Callithrix jacchus: one gene and its partners. Each later gene encodes a partner of the first gene's protein in a complex. Links are inferred from orthologs where the notes say so. Each region holds a gene or a part of one and is shown on either strand. Other genes may lie near its edges.

Region 1 (4,686 bases):
TCTCAAAGCAGCTGATCCCAGGGCCCTTGATTGCATGGTAGAAGTGTCTGCCTGTTAGGCTGGTGGTTGAGGTCTGCAGGGCAGCACAGAGCCTGTGCTTCATGGCTGGGCTGCCTGCCCCACACGCTTTCAAAAGTATCGCTTTACTCATGCATCAGTTTTCAATCACAACATCTTTAGTCTTGTTCATGAGACTACCATAGGCATGGGGTCTCCAGGTTAATTGCAGCCCTTGTGTACTGGTAATCCTTGAATACACACTTTTAGTGAGAAGTAGCGCTCAGTGGCCAAGGACACCTGTTTATTTATTTATTTATTTATTTCTTGAGACGGTCTTGCCCTGTCACGCAGGCTGGAGTGCAGTGGCGCAGTCATGGCTCACTGCAGCCTCAACTTCCTAGGCTCAAGGGATCCTCCCACCTTAGCCTCCAGAGTAGCTGGGAATACAGGCGCATGCCGCCACACCTGGCTAATTATTTTATTTTTTGTAAAGATGGTTTCTCTATGTTACCCAGGCTGATCCTGAACTTCTGGCCTTAAGTGACCCTCCCACCTCAGCCTCCTAAAGTGCTGGGATTACAGGTGTGAACCACTACATTTGGCCTAAATTTAAAAAAATTTTGGTCCACATCCAGTGACCTATCGGGGAGTCCTGTTATTTTATAAAAGCTGCTCTGTTACATCAGCATTCTCTTCAGCCAGCTCCAAGGCAAGGAGCCGTCCATGTGGTTGGGGTGGCAGCAGGCCCCATGGAGGGAATGGTGCTGAGGACATGTCCCTGCTGGCCTCAGGAGGAAGAAGAGGACGACACCACTCCTTGGTGTGGTCGTGATTGACAGGTGGCTGATGCCTGAGTGTGCCCTCTTTTTCCACCTTAGGAGACACCGTGGTAAGGAGGAAGCCTGCTTCTCTGATGGCCCCTCTCAAGCGGAAGGAGGAGTTCTCCTTGTTCAAGGTGTCTGATGATGAATATAAAGTAAAAATCTCACCTCAGCTGCTCTTGGCCACCCAGCGCTTCCTGTCCCGAGGTGAGGCGGGATGGTGGTCCATGCCCCCTGCTCTCCTCACTGTCCTATGGGTCAGGAGGCTGCTCGGGGCCGACACTAACTCTACTCCCCATTCCTCGAAAGCAGGCACATCTTGAGGACCTCCGTGTTCTCTGCAGCCATGCCAGCATCTTGAGTCTTGGGAGAGGCAGCTCCTCTCTGCCAGACCGCCAAGAACAGGGCCAGGGCAGTGCCACACCTGGTGTGCCACGGCCAGGCGGCCTCAGCTCTCAGCTGGGTGGATGTGGGGTGCCCTGTGCAGTGTTTTTTTTGTTTTTTTTTTTTTTAAAGACAGGTTCTTGCTTTGTCACCCAAGCTAGAGTGCAGTGGTGTAATCCGGTTCACTGCAACCTCCACCTTCCAAGTTCAAGTGATTGTCCTGCCCCAGCCTCCCAAGTAGCTGGGAATACAGGCGTGCATCACCACGCCTGGCTAATTTTTGTATTTTTACTAGAGATGGGGTTTCGTCATGTTGGCCAGGCTGGTCTTGAACTCCTGACTCCAGGTGATCTGCCTGCCTTGGCCTCCCAAAGCGCTGGGATAACAGACATGAGCCACCATGCCCAGCCCCTGTCTAGTTCTCTTGTGTTGAGATTGGGGGTGGGGGACAGCTGCTCATGGGCTATCCAGGAGAGCCCCGGTGGGCACAGTAACTTGAAATTGCCTAAAGTGTTGGGTGTGGTTCCATGGGCCACTAGGCACTGGTGGACACCATCCCTTTTTTCCACCACGGGCAGAAGTGGATGTATTCAGCCCACTGCGCATCTCTGAGAAGGTCTTGCTGCACCTGCTGAAGCATCCCAGCGTCAACCAGGAAGTGAGGTTTGACGACAGCAACCGCTTGGCCACACACCACTACCTGTACCAGCGTAGCCAACCGGTGGATTACTTCATTCTTATCCTACAGGTAGCTGTGGGTACCAGGCCTGGAGCCTCCTGCTTCCTCAGGCCAGGGAAATGTCTGGGAGAAGAGGGTAGTAGGGGCATGAAGGTACCTCCCTACCCCGAAACAGTTGAGTTTGTGGGTTTCTCTCTGCGCTGTCTTCTGATGGGAAGGGCCATCTGGCCACATCTGTTTCTCTCCCTGCTGTTTTCTCCCAGGGCAGGGTTGAAGTGGAGATCGGGAAAGAGGGCCTGAAGTTTGAGAATGGGGCCTTCACGTACTATGGAGTGTCGGCCCTGACCGTGCCATCCTCGGGTAAGCCTCGGCCCCTGCTGGCGCAGAGGGCTAGGATCGAGGCTGCGGAGTCTGTCCCTGCTTGTTGTCACTTCGGCTCTCAATGCCCCTCCTCGCCTCCCCTTCCACCTGAGCCCACCACCCCATAAGGTGGGCTTCCGGGAGGGAGGGCAGCATTCTTCATCACTCGTCTTTGTGGCTCACTCCACCCCTGCGAAACCTCTCCCAGCTGTGTTCATCATCCTCTCTCGGCTTCCTAACACATTGCCTCTCCAGGGTGATTGGTGGGGTTGGTCTTCAAAACTGTGCAGTTGTTCCCCCCCAGGGGAGGGGGCTCCCAGCTGCCAGCACTGGCTTCTGCCATCACTGATTGTTCCTTTGATAGTTCACCAGTCCCCGGTGTCCTCGCTCCAGCCCATCCGCCATGACCTGCAGCCTGAGCCAGACGGCATGCGTTCATCTACATATTGTCCCGACTACACCGTCAGGGCGCTCTCTGACCTGCAGCTCATCAAGGTGACTGCCTGGGCTGCTCATGGGTGCTGACTTTAGCTGACTTTGTGTCACTGGGGGCTACCAGCTTGTCTGAGACTGCCCAGAGCAAGGTCCTGTGCTCATCCTGAGGGACACAGACCTTTGCACCCAGTTTCCATGCAAGGTCTTAAAAACACTTGACTCAGTTGCTCTTCTCCCCTTAACTAGCTTAAAGTTGTTCCTCTGTCCTCTTCTGGCATGGTGTGGACTCTCCTGTCTACCTTCTGTGTCTCACTTCACCAGTTGGGTCTGCTAGTAATATTTTCATCCTCTAGGTTACGCGGCTGCAGTACCTCAATGCACTCCTGGCTACCCGAGCCCAGAACCTGCCACAATCCCCCGAGAACACTGACCTGCAGGTCATCCCAGGCAGCCAGACCAGGCTCCTCGGTGAGAAGACAGCCATAGCGGCAGGTGAGTGCTGAGTGGTATGCCGTGCACTGTGTCTAGACCCAGGGGTTGTGAACTTGCACACACAGACTTGCACTCTCACCGTCCCACCCTGCCCTCCATCTTTTTTCCCATCCTTTTCCCTTCTTGTTTTTTTTTAGATGGAGTCTTGCTCTGTTACCCAGGCTGGAGTGCACTGGTGTGATCTTGGCTCACTGCGATCTCTGCCTCCTTTGTTTAAGCATTTCTCCTGTCTCAGCCTCTTGAAGTAGCTAGGATTACAGGCGCCTGCCACCATACCCAACTATTATTTTTTTGAGACGGAGTCACGCTAATTTTTTTGTATTTTTAGTAGAGATGACATTTCTCTGTGTTGGCCAGGGCTGGCCTCAAACTCCAGACCTCAGGTGATCTGCCTGCCTCGGCCTCCCGAAATGCTGGGATTCCAGGCGTGAGCCACTGTACCTGGCCCCCTTCTTGCTATTTTTTTTTTTAATTCTTCATTACTCAATTTGAACTTCTTGCTGTATTTAACAGCTTGGATGACACCAAGCTATAAACTAACTGGTGTTCAGACTATAGTAAGTCAGTATTTTCTCTCAAGGTCCTCTTAGAATGGATTGACTTAACCAGAGAATTGCTGGGAAGTGGGAGTAAGTTTCAGTTCAGACGCTTTTGGCCATTTAAGTTTAGGTCACTTGGTAAGTGAAGATTGGAGTCAGCAGTGGGCCTAGCTCTGAGGGTGGGTGGCTGGTGGACATCATCCTAGACATTAGAAGGGCATTTGTGAGGAGTTTGGTCAGTTTATGCTGATGTTTAAATAAACAAGACCCATCCGGGGCTTCACTGTGAGCGGGAAGATTGTATTGGAAGAAATTTTGCAGATGGAACTAGAGGTGGTGGGATATCAAACCCCATACCCCTCAGTGCCAGGAGGGAGGTGAAAAGAGTCTCAAGTGTACACGGCTGTGAGTAGGAGTGGTGAAGGGTCAGGCTTTCTTGTTCTTGTTTTTCAAGAAGATACTTTTATTCTGACTGAGTTTCTAAGGTTGGGGTTAGAGATATGCCTGAACTTGGGATTCCTGGAGGAGCCGGTGGGGCTTCTGGAGAGGCTGTGGAGGGAGCTGCAGGCTTGCTTCCTCGCACCCCCACCTGCCCCACCATGAGGAAGACAAGCCCTTATCTGCCACGCACTGCACTAGGAACTTCCATGTCTAACTCCGCTAACCCCTCTGTGGCTGGAGGGGTGCTAGCTGTTCTGCCTGTTGTACAGGGCAGGATTGAGAGCCCGAGAGAAGTCCCTGGCACTCTGATCTGCTTCCTGGAGGCCTCCCACAGAGCAGCTCTGGCTGCTCAGACCCATACTTGAGAGCACAAACATGTTTTTCTGATAGAAAGTTCTTTCTGAATTGTGAGGTGATGTGCAGGTGCAAGGGACAGAAACTCCATTCTGGGCCATGTGGATGCCTCAGCCCCTGTGGCTCCAGATCTGGGTGTTGGCAAAATGGCAACAGGAGAGGTCGTGGTGCTTAAGTCCTG
Region 2 (4,686 bases), on another chromosome or scaffold:
CCAGCGCCACGGGCACCCCTCAGCCAGGCGCACATGGAAACGGCGGGATGCCTGCAGTGTGGGTGAGCCTAGTGGGTGGGGACGCTGCCTTCCGGGCCCCCAGCCCCGCCGGGGAGGAGGTGGTGCCCCCCAGAGGGCTGGGCGGGAGCCCTGCTGGTGCCGAGGGAGGGGGCTGTGCCCCTTACCAGGACGTCATTGGCGCCTAGTCCCTCGGAACTCCGCAGAGCACCCACCTCAGCCCTACCTACGGTCCAGCCTTGCTTCTCCTGGGACCCACTGAGCCGCGGGCCTCCAGCCTCTTCCCCAGTATCCCAGGGGGGCCCTCTCTGAAGGGCGCTGGATTCACACTGGATTCAAACTTCTTAACCGGCTTTGCCATCGGGAAGGAGGGTGGTAGCCTCCCTGAACCTCAGTTTCCTTTTCTGTACGGGGATCCGTGTTGCTCCTGCCTCCTAGCCTGGAGCCAGAGAGAACCCACTTAACTGGACGCTTGGTCTGGCCTGGGCCCAGAGAATTGTCCTCCCCTCTCCCTGGCCTCTCTCCTCATCTGGCAAACAGGGACAGGGATGGACTCTCGCTTAAAGGGTCTTGAGAAGATACTGGTTTGAAAGTAGCTGAAGGCCCTGGGCCTGCGGGTCCGAGGAGACTGAGCCAGATCTTGGGAAGGGGCTGCAGGGCTTGGTGGCAGGAGGGAAGGAGGGGCTGAGGCTGCCTGTGGGCCCTGTGCTGTGGCCTCGGGCTGGGCAGAGACTTATAACATATGGAGGCCGGGGCAGCCTGTCCCCATTTCACTGAGTGCCCATCGCTGGGGATCCTTCATCCTTGTTCTCTGGGCCCTCCCCGGTGCTCAGGGGGCATGTGGTCAGGGAAGGGTGTCCTCTCTGGGGAGTAGCCACTGGGCAGGGCAGAGTCCCGCAGTCATGCTGGGGGCTCCCTGCTTTACTCTCAGCTGGGCAGGGGTGGGGCCCCAGGCTGCGGAGCCAAGTGGGGTGTGTGGCAAGACCCCAGCCCAGTCCAACCTCTCCCTGGAGCCCTGATACCATTCTAGCTGGGAGGATGCATGGCATCCTCTGGCCTCAGGTGGGTGGTCGTGTGGGGTGGTTCAGAGCCATCTCCCTGCCCAGCAACCTGCAGCCCTGAGGACCTGTCTATTGCCACTGGGCAGTGGGGCCACTGGGCGGCGGTGCCAGGCCATGTGCTGTTCCTGTGGGGTCTGCTGGGGTCCCTGGCAGCCTTGGGCATGAGAGCTGGGCCGGCTCCTCAGGGGGCGACCCCAGGAACGTGGTTTCTCGGGCAGTTTTCCTCTTCTCTTTCTGTAAACATGAGCTCGCCCCGGCGCGCACGCACACGGGGACATCCTGCTGCCCCAGGAGGGACCTGGGTGTTTGTGTGCTGCTCGTGCTTGGTGGCTTCCCTCACCTGCACTCAGAGCCTGTGCTGGCTCCAGCTGGGCTGGGTGGGGGCTGGCAGGACCAGGGACGGGATCCTTGTCTCCACCTTTACCTCCTTCTGGGGGTCCCATGCCACTGCCTATTTTAACCTTCCCTGAACCAGGCAACGGAAGAACATGAGATGTGGCGCCTGCTCTGAGCCCGCAGCACTGGCTACCGCGCAGAGTGTGGAGGGCAGGCAAGGCGGAGCCCACCGTCCCCGCCAGCCACCCTCCGAGTCCGGGGGCCCAGGCCTTGTGCCCTCCCTGCACCTGGGCTGAGGCTCCAGTGACCTGGCCTGCCTGGTGGGCAGCCGGGAAGGGGTGCTGGGCAGGGGCACAGGTGAGAGGGGTGGGCTGGGGGATGGAGGGCTCTGCCGGGTGAGGGGCCTGAAGTGCCTTTCCTGAGTGGCAGGCAGTAGTGACAGGGCTGGGCTTGGGTTGAGTCCAGGGGGCTGGAGGGTCTGCTAACAGCTGGGTCACCGCTGGAGGGATCTTTTGTGGCCCATCATTGTGCTAATGGGGTAACAAAGAGGCCAGCGCCTCGCACAAGGTGTCCGAGCTCTTCCGGAGAGAGGGGAGGGGGCTGTGCGCTCCTGGGACTCCCTTGCCTGGGAGCTTTGGGGCCATGAGACCCAGAGACGGGGAGAGGCAGGTGTGGAGTTACTTTGAGCCGCCCCTGGCGCCCCTGCAGCCTCCCTCTTAGGGCTGTTCACCGTGTGAACCCGCTCCTGGCTACCTGTGGTGTCGCCACCCTGGCATGTGTGCCTGACGGCTGGCCTGTTTGGTGTTGTCTGTCCCCGCCTCCCTGAGCTCCTGGCCTGTTTATCCCCTGAGTCTGGCTGAGCCCTGTGTGAGCGGTGGAGACACAGGGGCTGGGGGACACTGGCAGGCAGGGGGCTGCTGACAGGAAGGAGAATTTCTGCAGAAAGCAACGGGCGATTAAGTTGGCCCTTGGCCACCTGTGGGCTCAGGCCCCTCACCTCCTTGTGCTGGCAGCACTGACTGAGTGCCTGGGCCCCATTCCCTGAGGATGGGCCACCCAGAGAGACCTGGGCTCAGATGTTCGCAGTGGCCAAGAATCAGAAGAGGAGAGGGCAGCTGTCCTGGGTGGGTTTTCCGTAGATCAGAGCGGGCTGGCAGGGGCCAGGCTCAGGCTTCTTAGGGGAGCTTGGTCTCTGTCACCCTAGAGGGACCTGTCCTCTGTGTGCTGGGGTTTAGCATGTCCTGGGGGTGTGTGTGTATCTGAAATCCCTGTCCCCTGTGTCCTCCGTTATGCCCTGCTGGCTGTATGGTAGCTGCCCTATTGCCTCCAGGCCTGGGTCAGTCCTGGTAGGAGCCGTTCTTCCTTGTGCTCCCATGTAGGGAAACTGAGGCCTAAGAGGGTCACTCAGCATGGTCAGGAGGAGGCCCCAGGAGAAGTGTCGCCTCTGACTGTGGGCTCAGGGCAGGCTTGAACCCCTCATGGGAGGGTGGGGTGACCCCTTGTGATCCCTTTCTGTTAATTTTCTTCATCTTTTCCCCCAGATGCTGTGTGCTGTGGACCCGCCTGGGATTCATGGAGTGGGCTGCGGGGTCCAGCCCTGAGCACTGCTGCACCCGAGGTCCCAGAGCCTGCTGCTGAGGGTCCCCGTGCTGCTGGCTGTCACCATTGCCCTCGACTGCCGATGGCCTCTGCTGTCCAGCCTGGGGCCAGCTCTACTGCCTGAGCCCCCTGTCCCCCTCCAGGACTCACCATACCCCGATGGGGTAACATGACAGAGGCCCTGCACATCAGAGGCCACTGTCCCCGCGGCCGCTGCCGGTGACCCCTGGCCCAAGGGTGCTGGAGTTGGCTCAGTTCAAGTTCATTCTTACTCTGGCTGTTGTGGGCTTGGGGACCACCTCTGAGTGAAGGAGGCTGTCTGCCCATCCACCGATGTGGAGAGGGCGCCCCCAGCGTGGGGTCCAGCTCTGGACACTGCTTGGCGGCTGGATTTCCTTTGGGTTTTTAAGTTTTCTTTGCTGAGCTTTTCTGGTAGTTCTTTTTATTTTTTGCCCCTTTATGACTATCCCTCTCTGAGAGACAGGAGTTTGGAGTTGCCTACAGTACTTTGGGGGGCTGTTTTGTTCCTTTGCTTTTTTAAGAGTTGGATTTTCTTTTTTAATTATCCAAACTCTGGGCAGCTTCCTCCCCCACGCCCAAGTTATTTGCACAATATTTGTGCGGGGTGTGGGGGTGGGTTTTTAAAAAGATCTCTTTCTCTTGGACAAGCACAGGGATCTCGTTCTCCTCATTTTTGGGGGGTGCGTGGGGACTTCTCAGGTCTGTGTCCCCAGCCTTCCCTGCAGCCCCTCTCTGCCCTGGAGGCGCCATGGCTCGGATGAACCGCCCGGCCCCAGTGGAGGTGAGCTACAAACACATGCGCTTCCTCATCACCCACAACCCCACCAACGCCAGCCTCGGCACCTTCATTGAGGTGAGTGCAGATGGCGGCGGGGTGGGCAGGTCCAGCCAAGGTGGCAGCGAAGCCCAGCTGAGCTGTGCTCAGGCCTCTCAAGAGGGGTCCACTGGCCTGGCTGGCTAGACAGGGCTCACGGCCTTGGAGCAGGGCTCAGTGCCCCGTTACAGGGTCCTGGAGGAGGGACGTGGGGATGCCTTGGGACCTCGGGGGTGAGGGTGTTGGGGGATCAACTGGGTCCCTAGGGGGCCTGCAGGGGGCTGGCGTGTGACAGGAGGGACTCCACGCCACGTGGATAGAGGCAAGTGGTGAAGCCGGGGGTACACGGGCCAGGCTCTGCACGCTCAGCTGTGGCCTGGGCTGGGGCCCTCCTGAGCCCTTTGCTTTCCTTTTGGCATCTGTGCCTAGGCTGAGCGGGCAGGAGGTGCCCTGGTGTGAGAAGTGGCTGCTTATGGGGAAGCAGGTGGATGGGGACAGGTGGGCAGGTCGGCTCCATGGTGGGCCAGGCCTCCAGGCATTGCCCTGCTCTGCATTGCCAGGCTCTGGGTGAGGCCTCAGGCTAGACCAGGCTGGGCTGGGGGCTTCAGGGCCTGGATATCTGTGTGAGTGGGGACTGGGCAAGTGTCAGTGCTGACTGCAGGAGGGAGGGACCATTGTGCCCTGGAGAGACAGCAGGCAGAAATGCCGCCACTGGCCCCCCGGCACATGGGAGCAGATGCGTTTGCAGAAGCCGTGTTGGGAGTGGAGACTGCAGTGATCTGCCTGGCCTCTGCAGAGTGCCCTGATGCCTGCAGGCCTGGGCCCGTTTGCAGAGTC
Region 3 (4,105 bases), on another chromosome or scaffold:
GGGTTAAAAATAGGTGTGGATAGTATGCTTATTTCAGTTAGGCCTGCCATATGTACTGTATGCAGCTGTTCTGCATTATTATGTTAATCTTGGAGAAAATATCAATTTAATGTAAAAAGTGATTTCCTTCTAGGATTGGCCATTTGATGATGGAGCTCCACCCCCTAATCAGATAGTAGATGATTGGTTAAACCTGTTAAAAACCAAATTCCGTGAAGAGCCAGGTTGCTGTGTTGCAGTGCATTGTGTTGCGGGATTGGGAAGGTAAACTCTTACCCTTATTACCCTTTTTGTCTGTGAATTTATTAACATGCCTAAGTTAGTTGAAAGTTTCACTTTGGTAGACATTTTCATATATTATACTAAATAACATTAAATTACCTGAAAGGCAAGGAAATGAGAGAAAAACAAGTGTAATGATTTTTGAAAACAGTCTTGTCGTTTCATCTGGTTGTCTGATTCTGATGCCAGCCTGGATTTAGCCTGTGAGTGTTTTATTTGTCTCCCTATTTCAAGTAATCAAAAGTTCAGGTCACTGAAATAGGCAACAAAATTAAAGTAATTTTAGAGTTGGATGAGTCTATACATGGTTAATTTTGGATTGAGATGAATGGGAAGTTAATAGGTAGAGAGCAGATATCTGAACTTTAAACTCTTGAAAGGAGATGTATGGACAAGAATTGACTTTGATCTTAAAACCCTTTTCCCTGAGCATTCCTTGAAATGGTGTTGCAACACTATCATCAACAGCAGATTAAATGCCAATTTAGGATGCACATTTTGATTCAGAATATTGGTGTAGGCTGCCATTGCCTCAAGGTGGTGGTGATTCAGGCTGTTCTATGCTGGCCTTTTGTTTGCTATTTTCCTTTTTTGTAGTGTAATACTGTTTGTTTATAAGGTTAGAAGTTTTAGTCCTTAACCTGAAGGTTGAAGATAATGTTGTAACTTGGCAAATTTATAACTATCCTAGTTTTAGGTAGTCCAAAATTGGGGCCCTGTAATGGGCTTTATAAAAACATATTTCCTCTGTTAAATTTTTTAAAAAAGAGAACTTTTCTTAGTCATTAGTTCTTGAAAAAGTCTAGCAACTTTTTAGCATTTAATAAGGAAATATTAAAACCAGTTGGTAATGAAAATTCTGACACTGGAGATACATAATATGTTTGGCCATTTATTTTACTGTGATAATGGCTAAAGACCAATGAAGAATTTTTGATAATATATAGTGATGAGAAATTTAATATATAATATGATATTTTAAAGAGTAAAGATCTCTTAAGGTTTAGAATTTAGTGCTTTACTAAAAGTAGGTATCAGGCTGGACTCAGTGGCTCACACCTGTAATCCCAGCACTTTGGGAGGTAGAGGTGGGCAGATTACTTGAGCCCAGGATTTCTTTTTTTTCTTTTTTTGAGACGGAGTTTCACTCTTGTTACCCAGGCTGGAGTGCAATGGCGCGATCTCGGCTCACCGCAACCTCCGCCTCCTGGGTTCAGGCAATTCTCCTGAGTAGCTGGGATTACAGGCACGCGCCACCATGCCCAGCTAATTTTTTGTATCTTTAGAAGAGACGGGGTTTCACCATGTTGACCTGGATGGTCTCGATCTCTTGACCTCGTGATCCACCTGCCTCGGCCTCCCAAAGTGCTGGGATTACAGGCTTGAGCTACCGTGCTCAGCCGAGCCCAGGATTTCAAGAGCAGACTTGGTAACGTGGAGAAACCCCATCTCTACTAAAAATAAAAAAAATAGCTGGTCATGGTGGCAGGCCCCTGTAGTACCAGCTCCTTGATAGAGTGAGACCCTGTCTCCTCCACACACACACAAAAATCATAGAATTTATAATGATTAGTTATATTTACTGTATTAGGTAGGTATTGGCTACTTTAGCATAGAAGAAAAAAGAAAGCTTATGGTTTGCTTTGGTAATATGAAGTTATGGATCTTTAAAAATTCTTTCACTCCAAGACTTATGGATATTTACATACAGGTTTCTTTCTGCAGGGCACCTGTGCTGGTTGCACTTGCTTTGATTGAATGTGGAATGAAGTACGAAGATGCAGTTCAGTTTATAAGACAGTGAGTATGAAGTTTTGTGTTCAGAAATACAGAAAGGAAGATCATGAATGAGGAAGGAATTATGGAAGTGGGTATTCATTTGTAGTGTGGGATAATTTACTTTCTTTGGCTTAAAGTGTTATTTGAAGATGTAAAAACTTTAGAGCAAGTGATAGAGACTCAGTACAGCTGGCTTCCAGATTTAAAAGACTTTCTAATTTGGGTGGCAAATTTGGACATTATAGAATATGTCCAGTATATTGTTTGAATATCTAGGAATCTCGAAAATGCCCCTTTTAATAGATTCCAAATACCTTCCAAATGCAGTTCTCTATTAGGAGGAGGCAAGAAGAATGTATAGAGGAGCAGTTAATCACCTGGGTCTCTTAAGTGATCTGTTCAGGCACAAAATCAGGATGGTAGTGCCCAGACAGGATCTTGGCATCTGGAATAATGAGTCTTCCATTTTATTATCCAGAATTATTTGACAATTTTTGTCTTGCCCTTTCCCTTTGAACCTTTCATTTAAAAAATGAAAACCAAAGAAGAGACTATTTGTGACAGAAAGCATGAAATAATATATGGTAGCGGCTTTAGGAAGGTAACACATTTCAAGGAATGTCATCAGTGTATGTCTTGAGCCTGCTTCTTTATCTTATTATTTTTTAGCATCCTAAATATTTGCTACCAACTCTAATCTGAAGAATATATCAATCTAATTGGGAAGAATATAGTCAGATATTTCTGGATAAACTATTCTGATCTTTATTAAATGGTTAATAGGCCATAATGATGGTCAGCAAGGAAAATTTTTCTTTTCCTTCTTCTAGGAGGACTCAAAGTTCATGTTGCAACTTAGCTCTTAAGAAGTGTTGGCCAGGCGCGGTGGCTCATGCCTGTAATCCCAGCACTTTGGGAGGCTGAGGCGGGTGGATCATGAGGTCAAGAGATCGAGACCATCCTGGTCAACATGTGAAACCCCGTCTCTACTAAAAATACAAAAAATTAGCTGGGCATGGTGGCGCATTCCTGTAATCCCAGCTGCTCAGGGGGCTGAGGCAGGAGAATTGCCTGAACCCAGGAGGCAGAGGTTGTAGTGTGCTGAGATCAAGCCATTCATTACACTCCAGCCTGCGTAACAAGAGCGAAACTCCGTCTCAAAAAAAAAAAAGAAGTGTTATAGTGTGAGAAATGTGCTGGTTTTCAGCTGTGTGGAATTAGAAAGGCCTTAGGACATAAATAATGCATTTCAGTGAATCAGACAGCTCTTTTTTTACCTGATAAAGTTTGCTATTCTTGTATTTTCAGAAAAAGAAGGGGAGCATTCAATTCTAAACAGCTGCTTTACTTGGAGAAATACCGACCTAAGATGCGATTACGCTTCAGAGATACCAATGGGCATTGCTGTGTTCAGTAGAAAGAAATATAAAAGAAGGTTGACTTGATTGTGGCATTTGGAGGGAACTCTTGGTACCTGGAAATGTGAATCTGGAATCTTACCTGTGTCATCAAAGTAGTGATGGATTCAGTACTCCTCAACCACTCTCCTAATGATTGGAACAAAAGCAAACAAAAAAGAAATCTCTCTATAAAATGAATAAAATGTTTAAGAAAGAGAAAGAGAAAAGGAATTAATTCAGTGAAGGATGATTTTGCTCCTAGTTTTGGAATTTGAATTTCTGCCAGGATTGAATTATTTTGAAATCTCCTGTCTTTTTAAACTTTTTCAAATAGGTCTCTGAGGAAAACCAGCGGAACATTAGCCTGTGCAGAACCATCTGTTTGGGGAGCACTCTCTTCCATTATGCTTGGCACATAGATCTCCCTGTGGTGGGAATTTTTTCCCCTTTTTTGGGGGGGAGGGATGGTGGTATATTTTTTCTCTCTTTTCTCCTTCCTCTCCTACACCTCCCTTTTTCCCCTGATCCAAGTTGTAGATGGAATAGAAGCCCTTGTTGCTGTAGATGTGTGTGCAGTCTGACAGCCTTAAGCCCACCTGGGCACTTTTAGATAAATAAAACACCAAAAAAAAAAAAAAAAAAAA

What was found.
Region 2: the proteins of CNNM3 (region 1) and PTP4A3 are in contact, whole or in part, in a crystal structure (PDB 5TSR), measured with the Homo sapiens proteins. The link is inferred for Callithrix jacchus from reciprocal best matches to the Homo sapiens genes CNNM3 and PTP4A3. Residues at the interface, in NP_060093.3 of Homo sapiens: Ser357, Asn358, Phe394, Asp396, Lys418, Val419, Asn421, Glu424, Gly425, Asp426, Pro427, Phe428, Tyr429; in NP_001425170.1 of Homo sapiens: Asn5, Pro7, Asp72, Gly73, Ala74, Val105, Ala106, Leu108, Gly109, Arg110, Arg137, Arg138, Gly139, Ala140, Ile141, Asn142, Lys144, Gln145.
Region 3: the proteins of CNNM3 (region 1) and PTP4A2 are in contact, whole or in part, in a crystal structure (PDB 5K25), measured with the Homo sapiens proteins. The link is inferred for Callithrix jacchus from reciprocal best matches to the Homo sapiens genes CNNM3 and PTP4A2. Residues at the interface, in NP_060093.3 of Homo sapiens: Leu390, His391, Phe392, Val393, Phe394, Asp396, Thr397, Glu405, Ala414, Gln417, Val419, Glu424, Gly425, Asp426, Pro427, Phe428, Tyr429; in NP_001356788.1 of Homo sapiens: Met1, Asn2, Arg3, Pro4, Asp69, Gly70, Cys101, Ala103, Leu105, Gly106, Arg107, Arg134, Arg135, Gly136, Ala137, Phe138, Asn139, Lys141, Gln142.

Annotation. Positions count from the first base shown.
Region 1 is NC_133515.1:6,766,805-6,771,490, forward strand, and holds part of CNNM3 (metal transporter CNNM3), read left to right. Parts: intron 1-878; coding exon 879-1,028; intron 1,029-1,783; coding exon 1,784-1,953; intron 1,954-2,147; coding exon 2,148-2,244; intron 2,245-2,608; coding exon 2,609-2,739; intron 2,740-3,032; coding exon 3,033-3,171; intron 3,172-3,308; coding exon of another isoform or gene 3,309-3,352; exon of another isoform or gene 3,353-3,490; intron 3,491-4,686. UniProt on the Homo sapiens protein: Probable metal transporter.
Region 2 is NC_133517.1:56,096,008-56,100,693, reverse strand, and holds part of PTP4A3 (protein tyrosine phosphatase type IVA 3), read left to right. Parts: exon of another isoform or gene 1-62; intron 63-1,554; exon of another isoform or gene 1,555-1,772; intron 1,773-2,956; 5' UTR 2,957-3,783; coding exon 3,784-3,888; intron 3,889-4,686. UniProt on the Homo sapiens protein: Protein tyrosine phosphatase which stimulates progression from G1 into S phase during mitosis. Enhances cell proliferation, cell motility and invasive activity, and promotes cancer metastasis.
Region 3 is NC_133508.1:68,516,747-68,520,851, reverse strand, and holds part of PTP4A2 (protein tyrosine phosphatase type IVA 2), read left to right. Parts: intron 1-133; coding exon 134-264; intron 265-2,007; coding exon 2,008-2,082; intron 2,083-3,369; coding exon 3,370-3,478; 3' UTR 3,479-4,105.